Diceros bicornis minor: one gene and its partners. The main gene of each other region encodes a partner of the protein of the gene in region 3 in a complex. Links are inferred from orthologs where the notes say so. Each region holds a gene or a part of one and is shown on either strand. Other genes may lie near its edges. The genes, in order: SMARCE1, SMARCC1 and SMARCD2.

Evidence for each region.
Region 1: SMARCD2 (region 3) and SMARCE1 share a complex: the UniProt entries of both Homo sapiens proteins name them as parts of the BAF complex. The link is inferred for Diceros bicornis minor from reciprocal best matches to the Homo sapiens genes SMARCD2 and SMARCE1.
Region 2: SMARCD2 (region 3) and SMARCC1 share a complex: the UniProt entries of both Homo sapiens proteins name them as parts of the BAF complex. The link is inferred for Diceros bicornis minor from reciprocal best matches to the Homo sapiens genes SMARCD2 and SMARCC1.

What each region holds. Positions count from the first base shown.
Region 1 is NC_080757.1:40,093,555-40,099,130, forward strand, and holds the start of SMARCE1 (SWI/SNF-related matrix-associated actin-dependent regulator of chromatin subfamily E member 1), read right to left. Parts: upstream 2,905-5,576; 5' UTR 2,801-2,904; intron 801-2,800; 5' UTR 756-800; coding exon 749-755; intron 574-748; coding exon 530-573; intron 1-529. UniProt on the Homo sapiens protein: Involved in transcriptional activation and repression of select genes by chromatin remodeling (alteration of DNA-nucleosome topology).
Region 2 is NC_080741.1:49,080,198-49,085,773, forward strand, and holds the start of SMARCC1 (SWI/SNF complex subunit SMARCC1), read right to left. Parts: upstream 3,577-5,576; 5' UTR 3,568-3,576; coding exon 3,370-3,567; intron 1-3,369. UniProt on the Homo sapiens protein: Involved in transcriptional activation and repression of select genes by chromatin remodeling (alteration of DNA-nucleosome topology).
Region 3 is NC_080757.1:46,662,187-46,667,762, reverse strand, and holds the start of SMARCD2 (SWI/SNF-related matrix-associated actin-dependent regulator of chromatin subfamily D member 2), read left to right. Parts: upstream 1-2,171; 5' UTR 2,172-2,479; coding exon 2,480-2,695; intron 2,696-5,576. UniProt on the Homo sapiens protein: Involved in transcriptional activation and repression of select genes by chromatin remodeling (alteration of DNA-nucleosome topology).

The DNA of each region.
Region 1 (5,576 bases), about 6.6 Mb from region 3:
ATAGAATATTATTTATGGAGTGGAATAAAATTCAATAGCAGGATCTGACCCACAGATAATGAAATCCTTACTTGAACAGCTTGAAAATAAAGATTTACAATGAGTGTTATTCTAGAACTGGAAGCTTTATTGTTTAACACGAAAATTATATATAGACAAGGAGAGAAAAATGTAACCAGTTGAAGGTTAGGTTTAAAAATAATAATAAATGCCAGAATGAGTATTCATTCAATATCAACCTGAAAGACTCTTAACGGAGATCAATAAGAAAGAAGTGTTAACTTCTCCCTTATTTCCCATTAAAAAAAGAACTGAGCAGGAGGTTGGCATTTCAGCAGTATGTTTCTTTAAATGTTGGGGTTGGTCAAGGTAAGATGCAGAGTTATTTTATTTAGTAGGAAGTGCTGTTTTTTAGCTGAGTTTTTCATCCTGTTGCTGTGATGACTGAGTGACTGTCACTGGAAGACATCTGGGTTTTTGTATCAAGGCCAGACTTGGCTATTACATTAACAAGAAAATTAAAACTTACTGTTGCAGGAGCTGGGGTGGGAGGTGGGGCATAAGATGGTCTTTCTGTTTGAAAGAAAATAAATAACTTCTTGTAAACAACTGAGATATAATACTATGCAACAAAACTACCAATGGTCCTGTTTTGAAGAAAAAAAATGAGAGTATTTTGGAATTCCCATTTGCTAGGGCATTAGTTTCTTATTAATATAGGTTGATAAATATAAAAAATGAAACTTACTTGACATTTTGGAAGATTAAGTTCTCAGTTCCTTAAGAATGAATCTGAGACACTAAAATAAAAAAAAGAAAAAAAAAGAAAAAAAATGAGAATCAAAACTCAGCAAGCATAAGAGAATGTTTTCCTAAAGAATAGGGTAGTTTATAAGTGGTATTTCTTAGTAAAATTACTTTACATTGTCTTCTAGTAATCAAGTATTTGCATATTTTAGTAATTCTTTAGGTCATTTGGTTCAACAGAATTAAATGACTAAAATTACTGGGGATATTAAAAGTAATATTAGACACGTACTTTCAAGTTTTTCTTATGATACTGAGCCACCTCTTGTACGGAAAACATTTTATGGATGCCATGTAAACATTTAACCAGACTGATAAAAATTTAATGACAACAGAATGACGTATTATCAGGGCCCACTCCAACAAGGCCTACCAGATACCGACAGCCCCCACTCAGCAGCAGCTCTACCTTCCTTTTAGAATAACAACTCCTATTAAATGGAGCAGTATTTGATTCCTGGAGGTAGTGCAAAAGGTAATTGGTATGATAATGCCCTTTACATTCTCTTATAGAGGTAAACAGCTTTGTAACTGCTGGGAATAAATTTTGAGAGTCTACCTGAAAAACTCTTACAAAGCCTTCATAGTCCATTTCAAAATATATCTACTCAATGGAGCTTTCTTGATAAACTACCTGGGCAAAATTAATTGCTTCCTCATCTGTACACCTACTCAATTTACATAGGTCTATGATATTGTTTACTATATCGTATTATACCTGTTCATATGGCTAGATCGTACGCTGCCTGGGAACAGCAACAATTTAATTGATTACTGTAGTCCCAGGACCTAGCTCAATTCTTCATAAATTTTGTCCTAGTATTTACCAGTTCATAACATGACCGTACCCACATGAGCTTACATCAATATACATCACACACAGTGCGTACAAAGAGACATTCATTTTTAGAAAAAAGGCAAATAACTTCTATGACTACTGGCACTTTCATCCAACATTATGTGAAACAAACAGAATTTTTTTGCCTCTATGTTGCATTTTAAGAGACTTCCCTGGAGCATAAGGAATAAGAGGCCTGCTGTGGAAAGAAACAGTTTATTTTCTCAGTGGCCCAACCTGGGCCCTCTTTCCTTAAGGAACGGGCAGAAACCATTGATTCTAGTGGAAATCTGCACATTCAGGGAGCTGTCAACACCCCGTTGGCCTTGCTGTGGGGAAGCCCTGACAATGTCCGCCACAAGATCCTTAATACGTCACACTTCATTGTTTAACGCTTTAAAATAATTGCTCTCCTTCGCTGTACTATAAATTCTTAAGGGTGGGCTTGTACATTTACCCACCAGTGGATCCATCCTCGGCGCCTGGCATAAAATACTAGATAAGCATTTGTTGAGTCCCTTACACGGGACAGGCTTATTACCTACACTACCTCGTCTGACAGTCACAACTACCACGGAGATATGTACTGCCACTCCTATTTACGGATGAAACAAGAGAGTCTCGGCGAGTTTAAGTAACTTGTCTAAAGACACACTGCCAGGAAGTGCCAGAGCTGGGTTTTAAACCCAGGCCAAATGGTTGCAGAGCTTTCGCTCTTCCCTCGAAGCCACACCGCGAGCCCTCGGGTCTCTGCCTGAACCAAGGGGAAACCACCTTCCTGGGGGTGAGGACCACGGGCTTGGCTAGTCCCAGGCGCTTCCTCTGAGATCCTTTCCATTAGGTTTGTCGTGGAGGCTACACTTCACCAGCAACTCCACCAAAGGGGGGTATGCACAGGTGCTCTGACCAGTTCCGCGGCGTTAGTGGAAGGGGCAAATCTTGCCGCCAAGGAGGGGCCCCAGATGGGACTCCCTCCCAACCCTCGCTCCGCTAGGCCTCAAGGAGGCCGCAAGCGGCCCCCAGCTCTGGCCCCGCGGCCAAGCCTGAACCCCAGCAAACCCCGGGAGCTCGGGGTCCAGCCGAGCCGGGACACCGCGACTTGCCACCCGTCCCCCCCACCCCCCGACCCGGCCAAGCCCGGTTGGAAACACTCACCCGCGGGCAGAAAACGCGCCCGCAGCTCCAGCCTCGCTTCCCTTTGTCCCTCGCAGGCCCCGCCCCTCGCGGCGGAGCTTCCGCACTCGCACTTTCAACACTCGGCTGAATGTCTCTCCGGGTCCCCCCGACTCTCTTTAGAAAAATAAACTTTCTATTGAGGACGCGGTGAGGCTTCCTACGGCCAAGGATTTTTTTCAGGCCCCATACGTTCCTCAAACCTCCCGAATGCGGTACCTTCCCGGGCGGCGCCGATTCGTCACGGCGGCGAGGGCGGAGAGGCCCGACCGCGGGATGGGCCCGGGTGCGGCGGCCGTGAGGGGCTGAAGCGCCGGCGGGGGACGCGCCGAGGGGCCGTGGGAGCCGCGCGCGGGCCCGGAAGACGGCGGGGTCGCCCCGACCTGAGGCCCCGGAACCACTGCGGCCTCGCGGCCCGCGCCACTCGGCCACGCTCCGCGCCCGCCCCGCGGGTTTTGTTTGTTTCCCCCCTGGTCCCTTTCTTTCCTCTTTCGCCCTGAGAAAGCCGGGCATGGAGTCGTGGAGGACCCGGCTGGCGGGTTTTTCGCCTCCACCAGCGCCTTGCAGGACGTCCTGCCGGAACCGGCCGGCATTATCCTTGGCGAAAAGCGACACGCACTTTTTCAGGTTTTGCAACCGCGAGTGTGGGGTCCTTGCCACAGGCTTCTGAGCCAAGGCCCAGAGGTGTCAATCCCCTTGGCCCGGGTGGTGGGCCCTGGCGACACTGGTCTCCGCCCAGCGCGGCCTGGGCTCATTCGGTTCCCTCCCCGGGAACGACTGTCCCCCACTTTCAGCTTAAACTCACTCCATCCCCGCTCGCCCCCCAATCCTTCCCCTGAACTCGCACGGTTCTTTGATAACTTGATAGTAGTCTCTACCCCATTCGTTGTATACTCATGAATAGAGATTAGTGAAATTGAAGAGCATAGTGAAGGGAAAGACTAAAAGAGAGGTCATCCAAGGATAACAGGCAGCTTGAGTGGTGCTTGAGATAATGTACATGAAAGTGCTTTTTTTAATATAAAAGCATCAGAGACGGAAAGGATTAATGTAAGATACACGAAGGCCTCAGCAGGGATCCCAGGACCTTCTTTCTCCTGCCTTGTCCAGCACCTACAGCCTGGTTTCTTCCTTGCCTTTGAGGTTATGGTGGAGCATTGGGCACGTGAGGTGCAGGGGCAGATGCTCCCTTGTGTCATCTCTAGGCAGTCCTCTTGAAGAAAAGCCGCAGGTGCTGGATGTTAGGAACAAAGCTCACTGTAGTGAGAAAGGCGTGGCACAAAAATGGTGAAAAAGGAAAGGAGGAGATCTGAGTGAAGCAGTGACATTGATGCACTTTCTCACCTCCTGGTCTTTACTCAAATGTCACCTCGGTAGGTCGTTGCTGACCTATTTAAAATTGCAACTCATTCTCCAACCTCCACTCGATTCGTGGTCTGTGCTTTGTTTTTTCTGTAGCACTTACCACCCAATGTAGTATATTTATTATGTATTTGTTTTGTTGTCTTTTTCTTTCCATCAGAATGAAAGCTCTTTGAGGGTGGGGATTTTTGACCTCTGAAACAGTGCGTGGTACATTCAGGTGCTCAATATTTGTGGAATGAGTAAATGAATGGCCATCTCATTTTCCTCCCTTTGGTTCTTCACTCCCAAAGATTTGCAAAATTAAGAAAGGAAGAAAAGAGGCAAAATATAATACGGAAAAAAACCTCTTCCCTAGTCCTGAAGAAATTAAGACTGCAGAGTGAAATGTCTGAGTTATTAGTTTGTTTTTTCCCCAAGCAAACGTCAGAACATATGATCTTGCATGTACAGGGATGTTGATGGGAACCACAGGACAGACTTTTGGAACAGTGCTTATTCCTGGAAAATATGGGATGCCTCCTTAATATGACTATTTAAATGATATGTAACTCTCAAGGTTGTTGGGAGCCCTCACAGGGGCCTTGCTGTGAACTGCAGAGATAGTCTTAGACCCAGGGAGTTTAGTTTCCTTCCTGGCAGCGAGATCCAGGAAGTTGACCTGCTTTCCTCTCTGACAGTACTCATACTTCCTTGAGGTTCTCCTTCCTCCAAAACAGGGAAGCCAAAACTAGTAAGTGATTAAGCTAGGATTCAAGCCCAGGTCTCTTTGATTTCTTTCCATAGTACTGTGGGAAGAAGCTGGGGAGTGAGATGGAATTAGGGGTGGAAAGAGAACCATCCCTGTGAGGGAAGGAGAAAAAGGAGAAAATGGGAGACAACAAGGAAAAACCCACAGTCCTTGGACACCTAGTAGTCCATGAATTGGCTCTAGGAGGTCTATGAACCCTTTAAAATTGTACACAATTTTTATGTGCTTCCCCCCCCCCCCCCCCCCAGATAGAGGGTTAGTACTTTAACAGATTTTCGAAGAGGTCTTGACTCAAGAAAGATTTTGAACCAACCACTGAGCCATGCAGTTTTCTGTAGTGTGTTCTAAAGAAGCTTTCTGAAATGAATTTTTTTCCCTTAAAATAGGGAAAGACAGGACAGAACTCTGGCTGAGCTGAATAGCCTCTAAAAGTCTGGTTGTAGGCAAAATGGTGGAATAGGCTGATTTTCTCAGCTGTTTCTGTGAAAGCAGAAGTTATGGGTATTCAGTTCTATTGCTAGAAATGGTTGTGAAATATCGAAGCCCAGCAGATTTCCAGGGCAGAGTGGATTCACAATGTTTTGTAGAATTTGACAAAGTATGGTTTGCTTTTACAACCTCTGTGTTACCTTCTAAATACCTTGA
Region 2 (5,576 bases), on a different chromosome or scaffold from region 3:
TTATGAAATCTAGTCTATTTTAGTGATCATTCTTAAATCTAAATCATCCTGAAATCTTAAATCTTATTTCAGGAATAAACCAAACTTCAATTTACCTGGAAGAAATTTACCTGGGAACCTAAATGGCTTACAGATATACTTCACCTCCAAGGTATCTGAGCTGAATCAATTTGAGATCAGTAAGGTTTTATCATCTAAAAACCACTCAGAAACTATGGACAGAAATATGGCTCTCATCTTTATCAGAGTTAGGGTGAAAGATATGTACGCAACAATACAAAGAAGGCAGCTTAGGTAGGATATGAACAAGCTTCTGCACTGCTTCCAGACTTAAAATGCAACCTCAGGCAAAGAGTTAACCTCCCTGTGCTTCAGCTTCCCCTCACCTACAGTGGTCACCTCCTCTGAACTCCTTTGGCCTAGCTGAAGCTCATCCCAGTCAAAAAGTATTCACTCTCCCTTCTGTGTTGCTAAGTCAAATTTATCAACAAAGCCTAAATGAACAGGTTCCTAGACTAATTAATCTGTTCACTCATTGAGCAAATATTTGCTGAGCACCTACTAAGAGCATTTAGAAAACAATACAAAGAAGTTCTCTTTTAATCTGAGATGACCTGGATTTTACAAGTAAGTGTCTATATCTATCTTTTCCACCACATTGTGACTTCCTTAAAGAGAGAGATTATGTGTAGCAATAAAAAAAAAAAATTGGGGTTTGGAGCTAGACAGACCTTCATCTAACCCCGTATCTACCACTCCTAACTGTAATCTTAGAGAAGTTACTTAAATCTGGAGCCTCAGGTTCCTCTCACGTGTAAAATGAAGTAAATAACATCTATTCAGGAAATAATATCAATACCAAATACCAAATTGATATCAAACAATATCAATATAATATTATTCAGGACTGTGGTGAGGATTTGAATTATGCTTTAAGTGCCCAGATATGGGAGATGTTCAGTTGCTCATGAAATGTATGGACAAACCCATCAAAAAAAATGCGACTGCCAACGTCATGTTTCTTTCATATGGTCGCTGAGATGTATGATTCTGAAAATGAAGTATTAGATGCAATAGAAAAGTTTAGTTAAAACCCATCAATCTCGGGCCGGCCCCGTGGCTTAGCGGTTAAGTGCGTGCGCTCCGATGCAGGTGGCCCGGGTTCGGATCCCGGGTGCACACAGACACACTGCTTCTCCAGCCACGCTGAGGCCGCGTCCCACATACAGCAACTAGAAGAATGTGCAACTATGACATACAACTATCTACTGGGGCTTTGGAGGAAAAATAAATAAATAAATAAAATTTAAAACCCATCAATCTGTACACCAAGTAGAGATATACTGTGTACAAAAGAAGCAAAGAAACTTCTGGTTAATACTTTCACCACTCCAACACCACTCTCAGAGGCTGACAGGATTCTAGCTGCCAGACTTAAGGGATATACAATTCTGAATTTGAGTAGGCCCAAGAAATATACTCTGGCTTTATGAAACCCTGAGAAGTCAAACCTAACTTTGTCTTTAAGGCCTTAGCGACACTAAGCCAAGATTAGCCTACTGGCTTCAACACTCTGGAACATATCCCTCAGTCAGCCTCACAGCCACTTCTTCACCCACCCAAACAAATCTCGGAAGGCTTATCCAAGCCTAAAGCTGACCTCTTAAAAAACTGGGCCCAAAGAGATGCACACGGAGTTTGGAGAGATAGAAATGACTATTATTTCCTTTTTCTTTTCCATTCCTTGATATCCAAAGGAATATTACTCCTGAGTATTTTTCTTTGTTAAAGCTATATTGATAAAGTAATACAATATTACATGTCAATTATATCTCAATAAAAGCAGGGGAAAAAAATCCAGACTGGGGGAATAAAAAAACTACATTAAAGTACATTGAATTTAAGACCCAAAGCATTGGCTGAAAGGCACTTGACAAAAAATAATTAATACTTTTAGAATATAAATATATTCAAGTCCCTTAGCCACTTCCAGAAGCTCTACTGCCTACACAAAAAAGTGACCAATATATCACTGTACAAGGAAGAGCAATATTCCTGTCTACTTACATGTAGAGGAGAAAAGTCTACAGTCCCAAATGTGACTCCAAAATTTCAGGGGGAAAAAAGTCAAAGCATCTAAAAATACATCGTAAGTAAAAATATATGTTGTCTCTCACTTCCTAAAACTTCAGGTAAGAATAGTCATTTCTTAAAGTGTAATGTCAAAGGAACCTAAGATTCCTGTCCTTGTCTACTTCCAAAAGTTGGCAGGCTTCACTGAACTGCAGACCCCAAATGAACAGGTTCCTAGAGTACATTACCTTTTCATTCATTCAACAAATATTTACAAAGCAACTACTAAGGGCGAGGCAATGAGTACCAACCATGTTCCAAGACACATTGTAGTGAACAGGCCTGACAAGGTCCCTGTCCCAGTGCCACCGTCTTCAATGGGGGAAGCACAGAACTGAAAAGGGTGTTCCAGAAATTTGGGGGCAGAGGGAAGTATTTTCGGCTGTCTGCTTCATTACACCTTCTAAGGGAGTCATTCCTAAATATTTACATGAAGAGGAAGTTAAGAAACATTTGTTATAAACAAGAGGTTAAGTCACAACTTTCAATACCACTGACTCAGCAGAACTTACATTCCAAAGGTAGGAGAAACAGATAAAGCAAAAATAATCTCAAAAAGTGGTACAAAGAAAATAAAGGTGATATGAAGTGGGGTGATCTACTATAAATGGGGTTCTCAGGGAAGGCCTGAGAAACACATCAGGTACAAGTGAACACTAACTCTTCTACTATCACCAATCATAACCAAAAGTACTATGAAGTAAAAACCGTCGCTTTATAATATTAGCTCTCATCAATACTATAATTCATTATATTAACTTGCTGTTATTAACTTCCAAGTACAATCGTTCACAGTCCTTTAGCAAATCAATAACAGGTAGTAAAATCTTAGCTTACCTGACTTCGAAGACTAGTCTCTAAACAAACTTGAAGCTGCTTTTACAGCTCCGGCTCAGACAGTTTTTAATAATCACTGTTCACACACCTAATGCAGCTAACAAAAGAGAAAGATTCCGAGCCTCCGGGTTGCTGAGGTCGACCTGTTCCTACATACTGGGGTGAGCAGGGGCTTTCGCCCGGGGTGCGTGGGCTCCAAGGAGACGAGCCGCGGGAGCTCCGGGGAGCCCCGGGCCGCGGGCGCCCAAAGCGGACGGCGGGGGCGTGGCGGGCCCCGCGCCGGCCTTTGTTGTCCCTCGTGGCGCGCGGGGGGAAGGGCGGCCGGAGGCCCGCGAGGCCAGTAGCCGCCCCCGGGCCCCGTCGCGTGGCCTCCCGGCTCCCACGGGCGCGCGAACCCACCTTCTTGTAGTGCTTGCCCAGCCAGACCCGCACCGCATCCAGCTGGGACACCGTCTCCGGGCTCTCCCAAAACTTGCTGGCCGGGCCCCCGTCCTTCCGCCGATAGACGGCCAGGCCTGCGGCCGCCGCCGCTGCGCCTCCCGCACCCGCAGCGCCTGCCGCCGCCCCCAGCCCGCCGCCGCCCACCGCCGCGGCCATTCTCGCCGTCCGCCGTCCCCACCACCCAGCCCACCCCGGCCCTCGCCGCGTTCCCCGTTCGCACCCGCGCGCGCGCGCAGCTGCCACCGCCGCTTCCCGGCCCCGCCCAGCCAACCCCCTTCCGGCGCGGAGGCCCGACCCCGCCCCCTCTCGGGACCGGCGCCCTAACCGACGAGGGCACGCGCACACGCATGCGCAGTGCTCGCGCCAGGCGGGCCTCGGGGGAGCGCCTCCACCCGCCTCTTCCGCCATCTGCGGCGGCTTGCTCGACCTCTCCGCTGCCGAGCCTCCGCCTCTGCGCGTCTGGCTGTTTCCGGGGTTCCTGCGTCGGATCGTTGGCGGTCAACAACTGCATGGAGGTTCCCTGTCATCGGCTGCCACTGCCGGAGAGAAAAGGGCTGGTGTGAGAAGTTCCAGAGAGAAAGCCCGTTTAGGGTGTCGAGTGGCGGCAGAGGAACCCGCGAGCGGGTGGGAATGTGCGCCTGCCCTCGCTTACCCATACCTTCTACACAAAGTGGCCGTGTCAGCCTTTGTAGTCACTCACCTGGGACTACCACTCGGAGCTTCTTCGGCCTCACAGCCTTTCTGCCCCTCATGGCTCTAGCCGCACCAGCTCATTCCTGCCTCGGAGCCATCGCGCCAGCTGTTCCCGCGACCTGGACAGCTCTTCCCCTCTAATTGTCACTTAGGCGCTTTCAAATTCATAGCTTAAAGGTACTTTAGAAAAGCAAACCCTGACCATACAATCTTGAACAGGTAGTCATACTCACTGGACATTCTCTATGTAGCACTTACCACGACCTAGTATTTTTCTTTTCTTACTTATCGTCCACATAAATTAAATGAGAACTTAGTCTTGACTTGTTCACAGACGTACCCTCAGTGCTGGGAACAGGGCCTGTTATCTAATACATGTTCAATAAATATTTGATGAATGAATGGATGACGTACACAGGCAGAAAGGTTATAAATTATTAACGAAATATGATTGCCAATTATGAAGTTATGAACATAATGCTATATGACCCCAGAACAGCACGTGACTAATTGCTTGTGAGAAAGCCTGGTGAGTTTTTGAGACCAACTTTTAAGAGTGAACAGAATGTGATCAGGGAGGAAAGGACATTTCACACACATGAAAACAAGTGGAACAAAGGGTAATGCGCAAGTGTGAAAGCATGCTTGGTGCAACTCTCCATAAGACCATGGGATGGAAGCAGAGATGTTACTTGGTTGTGGCAATGATTTTGACTTTATCCTGTAAGCATTGAGAAACCATCTTGAACAGAGAGAATGACATGATCAGATTTATAGATTACGAAGATAATTGCAGCAGTGTGAATGATAGGAGGAAGAAAGAATAGAGAAAAGATGAACTGGTAACAGTCTAGGACAGAAACAATGAGAATGTAAGTAAGATATGGATCTTGCCCTCTAAGAGCTCAGACTTCAGAAATAATGATAATAGCGGGTGTCATGGAACACTGTGCCATGCTCTGTGCTGAGTACACCTACATTACTGCAGATAAGAAAATTGAGGCAGAGAGAGGTCAAGTAACTGGCTAGCAAATATATATTAGAGTCAGGTTTTTGAACTCAGGAATTAGATCCTGGAGTACTATTCCCCTCTCTTCCCAAGGACAATGTTTTCTACTAATAGTGTGTGAGTAGAGCAAAGAAACCACACTGGAAGAGTTCAGAAAGCTATTTCATTTTCTGGAGCCATTAGATCCTCCAGGGTGGTGTTCCAACATTTTTGTTCAAAAAAATTCTAAAATAATTTGGAAAACGATATACTTTCTTCTTTTAGAAAAACATCTAAAATTTTTCATCAAAAATTAAATAGTTGAAGGGCCCGGCCCGGTGGCATATCGGTTAAGTGTGCACACTAGGCTGCGGCGGCCAGGGTTCGGATCCACGGCTCTCACTGACGCACCGCTCGTCAAGCCGTGCTGTGGCTGCGTCCCATATAAACTGGAGGAAGATGGGCACGGATGTTAGCCTAGGGC
Region 3 (5,576 bases):
ATGTTATGTGACTCTCACCTCAATAAAAAATAAAAAGAGAAAAAGACACTTTCTGCCTTCATAGAGTTTATCAGACAGTAAACCAGTGCATACATAAACAAATAATTACATATTGTGATAATCACTTGGTGGGAAGTAAACTAAGGGGAGACAGTGGAAAAGTTAAGGAAGAGCTGGGGGCAAAGAGGCTCTGAGGTGGGAAGGGGTTTAGCAGTTTGAGAAATTGTCAGGAGAACCTCTGGACTGACTCTCAGAGAACCAAAGGCAGTGATTTTTTTTTTTTTTTTTTTTTTTGCTGAGGAAGATTTGCCCTGAGCCACCATCTGTGCCAATCTGCCTCTATTTTGTAGGTGGGTTGCTGCCACAGGATGGCTGACAAGTAGTGTAGGTCAATGCCCAGAAGCCGGGCCTGCGAACCTGGGCTGCTGAAGCGGAGCTCACAGAAATTAACCCCTACATCATGGGGCCGGCCCAAGGCAGTGATTTAAAATGAGCCCAAGGAGGTAAGCCGGAGTCAGGCCCTGCAGAACCTTACATCTCATGAGAGGAAGTATGATGTTCAATCTAAGCAATGAGGAGCTGGGAAGCATTTTAAGCAACAGATTAATAGACAAATTACATTTAACTGTTTTATCCATTTTTAAATGCACCTATTAGCTTGCCTCTTTTCTAGAGTAAATCTACAGGGAGAATTGTATCAGAATTACCTGGGAGGCTTATTTTTAAAATACAACACTGGGAGCCATTGGACTGTGTGTGTGTGTAGGGATGTGGCTGGCAGGGAAATTTTGGAAGCCCCCAGGGGATTCGCCCATACTACTTCCTCTAGCACTACTGTTGCTCTAGGAGCTGGAAAAGGTCAAAATGGACATTAACTGCTTTATCATGAATTCTTTACCCACCTTACAGAGGTGGGGAGGGGCCCTAGTTCAATGACTATAACAATTCCAGTGGCCTGTTCTCAGACTGACAACCCATTTTTAGGGAGAAAGAGGAGAGGGATCTCTGAGAAGACGGAGAGGCAGGAAAGCAGCAGCAACAGGGTTTATCACTGGAGGAAAGATAGCAGGAAGTATAGATGAGCAGAACTAATTTCTAAAAACGGTTGGAGGACTGTACTATAAGCTGGATCTAGGGTGCTGAATGGTGCAAGAATGGTGCAAGAATGAAATGGAAATGAGAACATAGGCAGGGGATTTATATAGTGGAAAAGTCTCTATCTTGCCTACTCAAAAGTATTGTCTGAGTAGCGACAGCATTGCTGGGGAGCTTGTTAGAAATGCAAAATCTTGAGCCTTACCCCAGACCCCAGGCCTCTTGAATCATAATCTGCATTTTTAATAAGAGCCCCAGATGTTTGTTATGCTCATTAAATTTTAAGAAGCACTGGTTTATATCATGAGGAGAAAACTCCAGACCCCTGGCATAGCTAAAGCACTTTATTTTGAATACCTTCTGATACAGGACAGTGGTTTCTGAAAAGGTATTAAATTTTTGAAAATTAAGTGCTATAAATCCTGGAGAAAGACCTTATTTAATTGCAGGGAGGTTTCTCATCATGCAAAAATTCCTTCGCCTAGAAACATTTCCTGTGGAGTCAAATCCTAGGCTTCCTTAAAGTGAGGCACAGCCACTTTAAAAATATGCGATAAGAACTCGGCTCTTGGCCAAGTCAACCGTTCACACAGCTGGATCGGGTCTGGAGCAGCCCATATGCCTTGGCAGGTCAGAGCCACCAAGACGGGTTTTTAAAGCAAGTCAAGTCGGTGGCTGTTCTGCCCCCCGAGAGCAGCTCTGAGTTGAATCTTTAATGTTAAAAATGTAGAAAGCAGACTTGACAAAACTATTTTCAAGAAGCGTGGCCGGGTAACTTGCCGAGTTGCCTACGCCGAGTAGAGAGCAGCAACTACCTACCGTACGCACTGTCGAAGCCCTAAGCGACCTTCGACCTCTGGCCCCGCGCCTTGCTCGGCGTCTCCGTGCGCAGCTTCCGCCCCCGCCCCTCCCGCGAAGGGTTGGGCCGAAGGGTGTGGGCGGGGCTATGGGGCCGACGGTTAGGGACGGTGCCTGTTAGGGGCGGGTCTCGCGAGGGGCGGGATTTGAGGAGGCACCCTAGCATTGGGCTGCTGGGTATAGGCGGGGCCTAGCGCTGGGCTGGGTTGGGCGGGGCAGGGAGTTAGTTGCCGCCTCTGGGTAACTGGACTCAGGCGGCCAAACCTCCGGAGGCCGGGGGCGGCAAGCGGGCCCGTAGCAGATCCCGGATCCGGAATTTCCCGGGCAGGACCGGAATCAGGATCAACCCTGCCCCAAACCGGGTCTGTGAGGAACTCGTGAACTTGGATTAGGAAATCCCGGAACTCGGATCTACAAACCGCAGAACCCGGAATTTAGATCGGAAAGTCCCGGAGCACGGATCTCGGAGCGGACTCGGCGCGGAGCCCGGAGTCCGGATCGCGACACCGCCGGACGGGACGGAGCGATGTCGGGCCGTGGCGCGGGCGGGTTCCCGCTGCCCCCGCTGAGCCCTGGCGGCGGCGCGGTTGCCGCGGCCCTGGGAGCGCCGCCTCCGCCAGCGGGACCCGGCATGCTGCCCGGACCGGCTCTCAGGGGGCCAGGGCCGGCTGGAGGCGTAGGGGGCCCCGGAGCCGCCGCCTTCCGCCCCATGGGCCCCGCGGGCCCCGCGGCGCAGTACCAGGTGAGGAGGGCGGACGGGTGGGTGGCGCCGCGAGCACGCCGGGTGCAGGGGGTGGAGGGGCGTCGAGTGAGGGCCCTGGGGCAGCCTCTTGGAGAGAGGGCACAGGGGCCCTGCATGCGGAGCAGGACACGGTGGAGGGCAAGGCCAGGGATCCTCAGGCTCGGCTAGGTGGTGGTGGTGGAGGAGTTGGGAGAGAGAAGGTAAGAGCGACTCTGGGTGGAGTGTTTGAAGCAGTTGGGAGGGTCTGGGGGCTTCCGTGGAACAGGGATTCTGAGTAACTGAGAGATGGAGGAGTTGTGGGAGCTAGTGAGTTGTGGGTGGCTGGGTTGAAAGTCTAGTGTATAGATCCTAGGGTAGAGGGTCCTGGGAAGTGATGAGAAAGTTTTGGAAAAGGGCCCTCACTGAGGAACCAGGGTTACCCTGCATTGACCTTGGTCCCACTCCAAGTCTGCTCTGGTTTTTTTCTAGTTGGGAACTGGCAGAGTTCTAGCGTGTCTGAGATGGTTCCCAGCTGCTGATGAGGAAGAAGGGCCTGGCTTCCCACGGGCATGGGAGACTGAGGATAGGGCAAGGGGACTCCAGCTGGTGCAGGGGAGAGTCTACTCCTGGATCAGGCCCAGGAACCCTCACCCCAGATGACTCTGGGTTAGACCAGAGACAGTAGCGGCCATCCCTAAGGAAGGAGGAAAGCCCAGCCCATTCTGGGCAGACTCTCTTTTTGGCTTTCTGCCTAGTGTCATAGTGTCCAGGAGTTGATTAGTCTGGAGGAGCAGAGAGGCTCCACGGAGCCCTGCTGGTCTGGGGCTGGAGGAGCCTGCGGGAGTTGCTTCAAAGGGTTCTGTCCTGACCCCTTTGGGGTTTGGCTGCGAAGAGAGCTTCTCAGGTTGCAGCTTCAAAGATCATTGAGAGGTAGAGACTCTGTCCTTAGGGTCAGTGTGTGAGGAACTCAGCCTGACCCTGCTGGTGGGGCTCATCAGTCCCCCAGTCCATTGTTTCTGGTTGCCCCGGAATACTTGGGAATTGTACCCATTCTTTCTCCTGCCCGCTCTCCCCTTTTATTTAGCTTTGAGGTTCTGATATTGCCATATTGCAACTCATGTGCCCCAGCATTTGGCACTGACTTCTAGCAAGTTTGAAAGAAGGAAGCTGGGGCTTCCTCTCTTTCCTCCTCATGTCTCCAGGTAGAGGTCCCAGAAGTGGATTCCTAGAGTAGGGTATGCATGGGCCCCAGGACCCCTGGGCCCTCACTTTCTAAAGAGATGTTTAACTAGGAACAGTGATTTTTCCCTCTTACTTCTCATTCCCCCTCCTCCCTAGAAAGAAAACAAAAGGTCTAGGTATTGACAGAGACAGGCCTGTCCCAAGGACTCCAGCTGGGGTCCATTTTTCCCATCTTGCTCTTCCCCTTGGGGATTCATGGGCCCAAGGTGTCGCTGAGGGATCCCTGCATTGGTCATTCCAGTCTTTGGGCCAGCTAACTGAGACCTGGCCCGGGAGCCTCCCTGTGCGCCTTTGGCCTGGGAAGGATCTAGGGAACAGATAGGAGCCTCTCCAGTTTCCTCAGCTTGCAACCCGTGGGAAATGTGCCATAGGGAAAGCCGCTGAGAGACTGGATTCCATAGCCCTTTGTAGGGAGTGGCCTTGGGCCGGTGGCAAGGCTGAGCTGGCTGCCTGGGTAGCCCTGGGCTCCTAGGGGTGGGGAAAGTGGTGAAGGCAGTGAGCCTCTGCTTCCCTGGGCTTCCCATCCCACCAGCTTCTCATCGCCTTCTCCTCCTCCTCTTCTAGGGAGGGCAATAGAGGTAGATGGGGAAAGGGAGGACCCAGTTCACTTTGGTTGAGTTCGAGGAGGATCCTGCTTGGCTTCTTTCCAAGTCCAGTTGTGTGACTTCCAGGAGAAGGGACTTGAGATCTGAGGAGCAAAGGGGTTTCTGTCTATTAGGGCACATGAGATGAGCTGGGAGAGCAAGGATTTCAGGGCCCAAGTTGGGCAGATAGGGGAGCCTATTGAAAGAAGGGAAGTGATGACCCTTCTCCCTCTAGACAGTGGTTCCAGCTCTGGATCACAGTCAACTAAGGAGCTTAAAAAAAACAAAAACAAAACGACCCAGGTTGCTGGGTTCACTCCGGAGAGTTCAAAATATTTTCTTATGGAGGAGTATGTTCTCCTCTGGTAGACTCTGAGGGCCAGCCACCAGGAGCACCAGGGCCACAGCTTTGAGGGAGGGTAAGCATGCTCTCTGGAGGTGGCAGCATCAGGCCCAGCCTCCTGCCTTTGCTCTCCTGGGTGGTGGAGATAGAGTCCAGCTTAGGATGTGGGCTAGTGCTGGGCTAAGGGAGAGGAGGTTGTCACACACTTCTAGGGTTCAGGGCACTGAGCCAAGTTAACCTGCTGTGCTGCAGGTGGGGAGTTAGGGAGCCTGAGAATTCTGGGCTGTGTTCTTTTTTTTCCTTATAACTCTTGGGTTGTTTTTTGGAAGAGGAGGAGGAACTGGTACTTCAAAGCCCAGGTGTGGAGCTTGGCAAGGCCAAGCTGGGACTAAAGGAACTGTAAGCAGCCTTCCCCTGGGCTCCTTCCCGCTCTGGGGAGAAGCCTGGGGCCCTGGGTGAGCTGGGGGCTCTACGCCTGGGAAGTCGGAAGCAGATGTTTGGGAGGGGCCTATTCCAGGCCCTGCTTGTGCTGCCTTGTCTTGGGAGTTTCTGTTACCGGAGCGCCTGCCTAGGAGGCATGGGCGGTGCTGAGGAGGTTTTGTGAACACCCTAGTGAGTAGCCTCATGGAGACCACAGGGCCCTAGCTCACACTCTGCAGGTCCCACTGCTTCAGCTGTTCCAACCCTTTGGCTCAGGCGTTGGGTGGGAAAAACTCCCAGTCTAGGATGTCTG